Linked DNA regions of Mus musculus. The protein of the gene in region 1 binds, or shares a complex with, the protein of each later gene. Links are inferred from orthologs where the notes say so. Each region holds a gene or a part of one and is shown on either strand. Other genes may lie near its edges.

What was found.
Region 2: Emc2 (region 1) and Emc9 share a complex: the UniProt entries of both Homo sapiens proteins name them as parts of the ER membrane protein complex. The link is inferred for Mus musculus from reciprocal best matches to the Homo sapiens genes EMC2 and EMC9.

The regions. Positions count from the first base shown.
Region 1 is NC_000081.6:43,511,462-43,515,868, reverse strand, and holds part of Emc2 (ER membrane protein complex subunit 2), read right to left. Parts: intron 4,170-4,407; coding exon 4,059-4,169; intron 2,125-4,058; coding exon 2,020-2,124; intron 1-2,019. UniProt on the Homo sapiens protein: Part of the endoplasmic reticulum membrane protein complex (EMC) that enables the energy-independent insertion into endoplasmic reticulum membranes of newly synthesized membrane proteins.
Region 2 is NC_000080.6:55,582,258-55,587,379, forward strand, and holds the start of Emc9 (ER membrane protein complex subunit 9), read right to left. Parts: upstream 2,998-5,122; 5' UTR 2,853-2,997; coding exon 2,655-2,852; intron 2,499-2,654; coding exon 2,422-2,498; intron 3-2,421; exon of another isoform or gene 1-2. UniProt on the Homo sapiens protein: Part of the endoplasmic reticulum membrane protein complex (EMC) that enables the energy-independent insertion into endoplasmic reticulum membranes of newly synthesized membrane proteins.

The DNA.
Region 1 (4,407 bases):
ACAGAAGAGAACACTAGCCCTCTAATGACATCTTTCAAAAACTCTATCATAAGCAATTTTCTAAAAATTCCAATGTGATCATGTGGCCAGTGGCAGGCAGCAGAATTGCAACAGACAACTGGGTCTAGGCTGGAGCAGGGGAGAAGAGAGTAGATCACTCCTTATATTAAATCAAAGCTGAAAAGTTAGGAACAAACACTAATCCTGCAAAGAAGGAAACCTGAAGTGATGAAATCTACAAACACCCCAAAACAAACAAACAAACAAACAAACAAACAAACAAACACACAACCTCGGTAAGTATCTTCCCAGCCTTCAAATTACAGGCACATTTGAAAACTGTATGTAAACATGATTAAACAAATTGAACTATATATAAGATCTCAAACTAGCAGCCAATTACTTCTGTTTCTTGAAGCATAAATCCTTCAAAGTATGAAGAAAAATACTAACATCCGAAACCAAATTGCATAGGACAGAAACATGGAACAGGAGGAAGAAATGATCTAAGGAAGCTGAGGAGGAGCTAACAGCAGAGTGGACACCACAGGCTCAGAGGACTCCACGCCTACAGAACTCTGTGAGGTGTAACTGAAGACCAGAATCAGAAAATCCTAGTCGGCCATCATTGGGAGGAGAGGCCCTTGGCCTTGTGAAGATTATATGCCCCAGTACAGAGGAATGTAAGGGCCAGGAAGCAGGAGTGGGTGGGTTAAGGAGCAGGGCGGGGGGAGGGTATAGGGGACTTAAGGAGAGAAAACTAGGAAAGGGGATAGCATTTGAAACATAAATGAAGAAAATATCTAATAAAAAAAATAAAATAAATTTTTTTCTAATAAAAAAAAAAGAAAGAAAGAAAGAAAGAAAGAAAGAAAGAAAGAAAGAAAGAAAGAAAGAAAGAAAGAAAGAAAGAAAAGAAAAGAAAACCAAGTCAGGCTTAACTGGCACAAAGACCAGACACCCAGCGGTTATAACGGAGATCTCAGCAACAAAGGGAGGAGGACACAGTAAGGCCAGGAAAGCTACCTTATCACATCTCCAGTGCCCATCCCACACAGTTACCAACTCAATGTGGAAAAAGAAAAAGAAAGTGAACAAACACCATAGCTTATTATTATGTTAAAATGACAGAATCACAGAAAAAAAGAAAAAGAAAAAGAGTAAGAGGCAAGAACAGTGAAGGAATGCATTTATAATTGGAATCTTACAAGAGAAAAGAAACTGAATTCCTAAGACTATCTTTCTCAACAGGACTAAATCCTAGAAACAACTGTTTTGTGCATTTAGACATAGTGACCCTAAAACAAGAAAATAAGTTACATACTGACTTAAAGAAAAACTTCTTTGGGACAACAAAGTAAAAGTCTAAGTGACTTGTGAAAGTCAGGGTGGCATTAGGGTTCTGGACAACATTCTATCGAAAAGCCACTGGGGAAATATGGTTAAAATCTGTAAGTAAATGATAACCAATGTATGAACTGCCAAAGGATTTTATAAATATAAATGCTGTCAAAAATATACAAGCATGTATTTTTCTCATGAACAAATTTCCCATGAACAAAGTCCCCTGAAAAAAAAAAGAATTTCCCCTAGAGAGGAGCTCCTGAACACTAACAAACAGAGGTTTGATGGAAGCTCTGCGGTGCACACAGACAGGGCAGGCTTTAGGGTGAGGTCTGCCTAGTTGGCCATTAGGCCTTTCTCTTTATTTCTGAGGCACATCTAATCAAATTGCATTCTCAATTCCAATGTGCTTCTAAGCTGCATCTTCTAGTTTAACGTCGGGGTTTTATAATTCTTTTCTATTTAAGAAATGAAAATTTACAAATAAGAGATTAATTATATCATAAAATTAATAGATTGTTTTGTTGGGGAAAGGTCATAAAAATAACATTTGTTAAAAGCCTAAGGCATTAGAAAAAACTTTCAGTGATAGACATTTAGCTTTGTACTTTACAGGGATCAAAGTGACAAAGAAATACATCCAGTAATATACATAGCAAAATTGCCAATACTAACCTGATAAGCCCTGTTTATTTGATTAGCGGCCCAACTAGCATATTTGATGTTGTCTTTTTTCATTTTTGCACTTGCTTTTGGATTAGAAGCAATATGACTTGCAGACTAAATCAAAACAAGAAAAAGAAACATCAAAAGTAAAACTCTTTCTAGTTAAGATAATAAAGACATGAAAGTCATAGCTGTAGAGAGTTGATAACAAGTTTTAACACTGAAGCAAAAACAATTTTAAAATAAAAATAATATTGAATGAAATCAATACTCTAAACTTAAAATATAAGTTAAAATGCAGCATAGTCCAAAATAACATGACAAAGAATATTTTTAAAGTGTATTTTAAGTGTAATTACTTATGTATTTACATCAGCCCTTAGAGCTAAAATCTCTATCACTAGGGAAAGATACTTTATACATAACAAAGGACTTTGCTTAGGTTACTGCTATTTCTTGACACTGAAGAATAGCAAAATTCCAATATTTAATTATCAAATATTAACAGAGATCTCAAAAACAATTTAGCATAACTTCCAATATGACCAGGTGAAAACATATTCAGGCCGATAGGAATTATCTAACTTGAACAAAGCAAGTTAACTGAACTCTGAGATAAAGAGGATATTTATCTCTACCTGACTTGTCTTTTACTCTATACCAAGAGCTTTCCAGTTATACTCTAAACACCAGAATAGTCACAAAATTTTGCTGTATCTGTATTCTTATAGCAATTTCTATACATTTATGAAATATTATTACATGTTTGGTGTGAACTTAGGCAAATACAATGGCTGAAAAACTGAATAGTCAACTTCTGGGGCTGGGATCCCAGTTAAATATAGTAGCGTTACGGTCAGCTTTGAAATTAATTATATTTGTATCTCAGTTGCACCATTTGTGAACTTCAGGTAGCAACTGGAGAATTTATTTAAATGACTGATGTGAATAACTACTGATTTAAAATGAAATCTCAGACTCAGAGCAATGCTCTGTATAAGCAAGCGGTTGTTAGTAATCACTGCCACGGAGTTTCTAAGATGGTTGTTTGACTTATTAGATAGTGTTAGCAGCAGTACATCCCCAAGCCACTGGAACTGTTTCTGGTAGAATCAAAGAAAACTTCCTTCCCATTTTTCAGAGGCATATTTTAACCTTACTTCTTTCCTAAAAATCATCTCATTTGTTTCTTCCTATTGCTGCACTTTCAAACAATTCTCTTTCACTGGCTTCAACAAGAAGACATCCATAAAGAATCCATTAAAAAAAAAAAAAAAAGACCAGTGAAATACTGTCAGCACTAATTAGTATACTTGTAAAAAGTGTGTATGAATTTGAGAGAGGAAGGGGGGAACATAGCAAAAGGCAGAAGGAAGTAGAAAGTGAATTTTATCAGAACATTACATCCATGTTTGAAATTCTCAAATGATAAATATTCAAAAATAAGCAAACAGGTATACCACAATTTCAAAGATTTAAGGACCCATTAGAGTTTATTTTCCTAGCGTTTCTGATTGCAACCAGGTGCTCATTTTAGAAATATTCTAAAGCTCTGCAAATTGTCCTTCTTCCCATAGGTCTTGTTAATTGATTTTTCTAAGCTCTTTATGAGGCATACATAAATAATAACTATTTAATCTCACATATAATTTCCAAACTGCTTTTTTACACTTATTAAAATATTTAAAATTTGATATACTATTGATTTTATTTTTAATACTTTTTATTGACATAGCTTAAAATATTAGGAAATAAGTACAATAAAAATTGGCACAAATCCCAAGAACATCAAAACAAATGGACAATATACATTATGCTTTAGTATTTAATACTGTTTAGTTCTGATAAGTCAAATATGCCTCAATTGAAATGTCAAACGGCAAGAATGTACTAAAATTCACAATTATAGCATTTTTTACCATCTTGTCATAATTAACTATGCTCATCAAAAGAATACAAAAGCAAGCAGGGAGAGATTGGAAGGACAGTTAAATGCATTTTAAATGACAGACTCCGTCAAGTGACGTTGAACACGTACATCAACTCACCATGTAGAGCCCAAACAGAGCTCTCATGTTCCTGTTGTTGAGTTTCAGTGCCTGTGCAAAATACTTTCTTGAAAGCTCGAGGTTTTCAAGTCCACCTTGGGTGTATTTGACCTGTTAAAAGTTGCAGATTGCTGAAACCTGTTTATTTTACTACTCTGAAATGTAGCATGTTCCATCATACATAGGCTTTATGTAATGAGAACAGATATTCTCTAAACAAATGCAACATGCTAAAAGAATTCACATTAAGGTAGTTAATCTAAAATGTAAAACACACCCTAGCTCTTGATGAACTATTCTCTCCTCTGAACATTAAGATCTTTGAGTAGCTATTATAACCAAAATGTTG
Region 2 (5,122 bases), on another chromosome or scaffold:
TGCTGTGGGAAACAGGTCTCAGATACTGCTGCTGAGAGATGAAATCTAAAGTAGGCGTTGGGTAAGGTAATTTGCCTTCATCATCCAAATTTAAAAAGGAACAGGGCTGGAGCAATGGCTCAGTACTAACTACTTTTCCTCCAGAGGACCTGGGTTTGAATTTACACTCACATGGCAACTGATAGCCAGGCCCAGGGGAACCCAACGCCCTCTTCTGGCCTCCAGGGGCACTGCATGGTATACAAATAATACAGGCAAAACATAAATATAATAAAAAATTTTCAAAAAAAACTATAAAGAATTTACTGGATAGGAAGTTAGGGACCAGCAAAAGTGGGGCAGAACAGTGGGAGCTCCATGGGGAGGGACAATTAAGAATAAAGTATGAAGCTGGGCAGTGGTGGCACATGCCTTTAATCCTGCAACTCAGGAGGCAGAGGCAGATGGATCTCTGGGTTCGAGGCCAGCCTGAGTGAGTTCTAGGACAGCCAAGGGTACACAGAGAAACTGTCTTCAAAAACCAAAAGGAGGAGGAGGAGGAGGAGGAGGAGGAGGAGGAGGAGGAGGAGGAGGAAGAGGAGGAGGAGGAGGGGAGGGGGGGAGGAGGAGGAGGAGGAGGAGGAGAAGAAGAAGAAGAAGAAGAAGAAGAAGAAGAAGAAGAAGAAGAAGAAGAAGAAGAAGTATGTATGTATGTATGAACATGCCCCAGTGGAACCAGTTACTTTAAATGCTAACTTGAAGTCGTTTCTGCCATCTCTGGGAGCCACCATGAGGTGTGGCTGCATCTGCCCAACTTTCTGAGGCCTGAGTCAGAAAGGCAAAACTTTTTTTTTCCCTGTTACTTTTCAGATGCTGCCCAGAACCTAAGTGTGATTTTTCTGATCCTTTGTGCTTCCTTACTCTTTCTCTAAAGCTGGGCTGCTTGTCTGGGATGAGTCTGACTTCCGTGCTGGGCTTGTCTGCGATCAGTCTGTCCTCTGTGCTCGTTTATAGGGCATGGTTCTTTCCCTTCTTTCCTCTCTTCTCTGGAAAGCACAGCTTGTTTCCTCTGAGTCTTGCCTTTCTTTTCAACTCTAATTAAACCATCCTTGAGCGGTTTTTTTTAACATATTTTTAAATATAATTTATTTTTATTTTATGTGCATTGGTGTTTTGTCTGCATGTATGTCTGAATGAAGGTGTTGGATCCCTGGAGCAGGAGTTACAGACAGTTGTAAGTTGTCATGTGGGTGCTGGGAATTGATCCCAGGTCCTCTGGAAGAGCAGCCAGTGCTTTTAACTGCTGAGCCATCTCTCCAGCTCCTGCCATTGAGTTTAAAATTCTTTTATTAATAAGACTAAGAATCCCCAAAAGGGAACCCCAATTCTCCCATGTCATCTGGCCACTGTGGTCAAAACAGACCCAGACCTACATGGCAGGGCTTGGCATCCAGGTATAATGGCGGGCCTTCAGAGGCCCTCCCAGCATCTGTTTCATTGTGTATGTACAGCTTCAAGAGGTTTACACAGCTTGTCACAGATGACTTAAAATACAAAGGGGTCAGTGGTAGGCACGACCACGCCTTGCTTCTGACTGCTTAGATATGGATATCCTTGTCCCTTTATTTAAACTTCACTCACCCAGGAGACAGGCTTGGGGAATAACAGTGTTTTAACAGATCTCTTTGTCCCTCATTCTAGCATGCTCATATTAAATATATTTTTTTCTTCTTCCTGCTATTAAAAAATATATTTTTAGCTGGGCATGGTGGAACACAACTGTAGTCGCAGCACTCAGGAGACAAAGGCAGACGATATGAGTTCAAGTCCAGCTTGGTCTCCAGATCGAGTTCTGGGACAACCAGAGCTACACAGAGAATCCCTGTCTCAAAAAACAAATAATATAATTAAAAAAAATTTTTTTTACTGTAATAAGACCTCTGCATTTAAAAACTGAGATAACTTCAATGTTCACTGCAGTAACTAAGTTACAGTTTGTTCATATTCATACTGTACAGCTGTTAGGGTGAGGTGGATCCCGAGATGGAAAGACATCGAATGTACTGAGTGCAGAGAGGGAAGCAAATGACAATAGATCGAACTTAATTAACCCATAGCAAATGCATTTGGTCTGTAGAGTATATTTATATAACATATACTTTTTAAAGTCGCTTTTAAGTTACTGGTCGCACTTCCTCAGTTCTTACAGACACCTCAGTCTGTCTGTCCCTCCCCCACTGCAGCTCCTTCAGGGCAGGATTCTGTCATATTGATCTCTGATACCTCCTCACTCCTGTACTCAGTAATATCTGGCATACAGCCCTGCTGCCAACACTTGATTAAAAAAAAAAATAAAGGTAAAAGGAACGACTTTGGTCCATCTGTACCTCACCCACAATTGCCACAATTATCTCTCTTCCCACCCCTAGCTTCCCAACTCACCTCTGGTCATCCAAAACCGCATTGGCATGGTAGTACCCAGCTACCACCAGACCGGCCTGCGCGCCCCACACATCCACCTGTCGTGAGAAAGGGGCCGTCAGTAACTAAATCATGCCTCTGGCTCTTATCAGTGCACACCACGGTCAACGGACTGCGCATGCATTTAGGCTGAGGGTCCTAAAGGGGTCGGTGGGGTGAAGAGGGACAAGGGGTGGGGTTCTCAATGTCGCAACCTGGTTGAGCGCGACCTCCAGCATGACGGACAAGGCCAGATGGCTGTGGAAGAGGGGCACACAGTCGGTGAGGCAGAGGCATTCTCCGGACCCCGTCGCGGGAGCCAGCAACAACCCGTTGACAGCAGCGTGTGGGTACCGAGAGGCGTGCAGACACATCTTCCCGTAGGCTCGGGCGGAGATCTCCACCTCCCCCATAGCGAGCGGGGCCTGCCGGCACCCGAACCCCCACTAAGGCGGCTCCCTGACCACCAGAGGCGAGCTTGGCCTCGCCCTGTGCCTCCCTTCTCACTTGGGTGTAAGATGCCCCTGACGCCTGGCGACCACTCTCTGCAGCCCGTCCCTAGCAAGGTAGAATTCGGTCCAACTGCAACGGGAGGCACCGAGCTCCACCCCCTCTAATCACTCCCCTCTCTAGCCACTCCCGGGCAGGCGCACTTGCTCCCAGGCCAGCTCAGGGTCATACCCTAACCAAGAGTCCCGCCTCCGCAGTACTCTCTGATAGGGTGTGACATTATTATTTTGCCCAATCCAAAATTTAAAAAAAATAGTCTTGATTTTGGCCTGGAGCAAATTGGAAAGAACGCACTAGGGCAAAGGAAAGAAAATTGCCCACAGACATATTAGCTAAATAACCTAGTTTATGTTTTGGGTTTTGCTTTGTTCTGTTTGAGGGAAGGAGGATACCACAAAGTCTCAGCCCAGGCAGGTCTCAAACTCACCGAGGTTTCTGCCTCTGTCTCTGAAGTTGAAAGCCCTAGACCCTGTGCCACCACACCCAGTTCTGACTTGGCGGGTTATTGCAAGTTGGCTTCGCCTGTTTACCTGCTCTGCCTGCCCCTACGGGCTTCGGGCAAAGACTGCTAGGTGAAGTACTCACTCCTAGCTGGGAATGGTGACAACACTGTCACCTTGTCCCTGCACCATAGATAAGGAGCCTAATCTTCCCAACTGCAAGCCCTGACCTTTGGCTTCCTCATTGTGGTGCAACGTCTTTAATGCAAAGTTCAAGTCCCTTTAGGGACTAAATATGAGCACTGAATTCCAATCCGCCAAACTGATAAGAACACAAAATATTCTTATGCCATATTTTAAAACAGGGTAAGAGCCTTACTTCAAAAGCCCCTTGGAACATCTAACAGGCCACATAGCAGAGGCCCATTGTCTCCACCACCTTCTCAGAAGTGAATCCTAAACTTGCAATCAATCCCACTACTGAGGTAGAGGCAAGAGGATCTAGAGTTCAAAGTTAGCCTCAGTTACATAGTTTAAGGCCAGCCCAGGCTATGGAAGACCTTGTCAAAAAAAAAAAAGGCTCAGAGATGACTCAGCAGTCAAGACCCAATTTCTGTTACCAGCGCCTTATCAGGTGGTTCACAATCAGTAGTGAACTCAGCTTCAGGGGATCTGGTGGCATACATGTGGCATTCGCTCACAGACATATACACACAGATTAAATATAAAATGGAAATCCCAACAAATGTAAAGACAGAAACCAACTGGGGGAGTGGGCAAGAGATAAAAGGTCAATTCCACCCCCAGTACTGTCCAGTAGATGGTGATATGCTCTAGTTTGATGCCTTTTAAAGATCTTTCCTCTCTGCCAGCACTGAGACATCTCAGGGTAACCACATTTCCCCTCAAGCTTGCTCTCAGCTCCCCAACTGTTCCTTCTTCATTCCCATACCACAGCCACAAAGCCTGACTCCTCCCACAAGGGATCCAAAACCTCTACTAGGAAGTCCTCGTGAGATCAGATTAAAATACCCTTGGCATATTCAAATATGTAAAATATGGGTTACCTGCATGGCTGCAGTCTTCTACCCTGTTTTTTTTTTTTTTTTTTTAAGAGCCCTGGTTAGCCCCCAACTTGCTATGTAAACCAGGGTAGCCCTGAACACCGAGAACCCCTTACCTCTGCTTTTGCCTCTGAGCACTGAGAATAAAGGTGTGCAGTACCGTGGCCTGCTCTGCCCTGTTCTTTAGAAGGATCTGTGAAAAACACAATGGACCTCCAGTCCCTCCCTCCTCGACTTCCTGCAACCACTTAATTTTTATTTTATTTTATTTTATTTATTTATTTAGGTTTTTCGAGACAGGGTTTCTCTGTGCAGTCCTGGCTGTCCTGGAACTCACTTTGTAGACCAGGCTGGCCTCGAACTCAGAAATCCGCCTGCCTCTGCCTCCTAAGTGCTGGGATTACAGGCGTACGCCGCCACCACCACTGCCTGGCTTTTTTGTTTTTTATGTGATGAGTGTTTTGCTTACATGTATGCCTGTACATCACATGTGCATATCTAGTGTTTGCAGAGGTCAGAAGAGGGTGTCCAGATCCCCTGGAACTGGAGTTACAGTCAGTTATTAGTCATCTTGTGGGTGCTGGGAATCAAACCTGGATCCTCTGGAAAAACAACTGGTGCTCTTAACTGCTGAGCCATTCCTCCAGTCAACCCTCTCCCACTTTCATT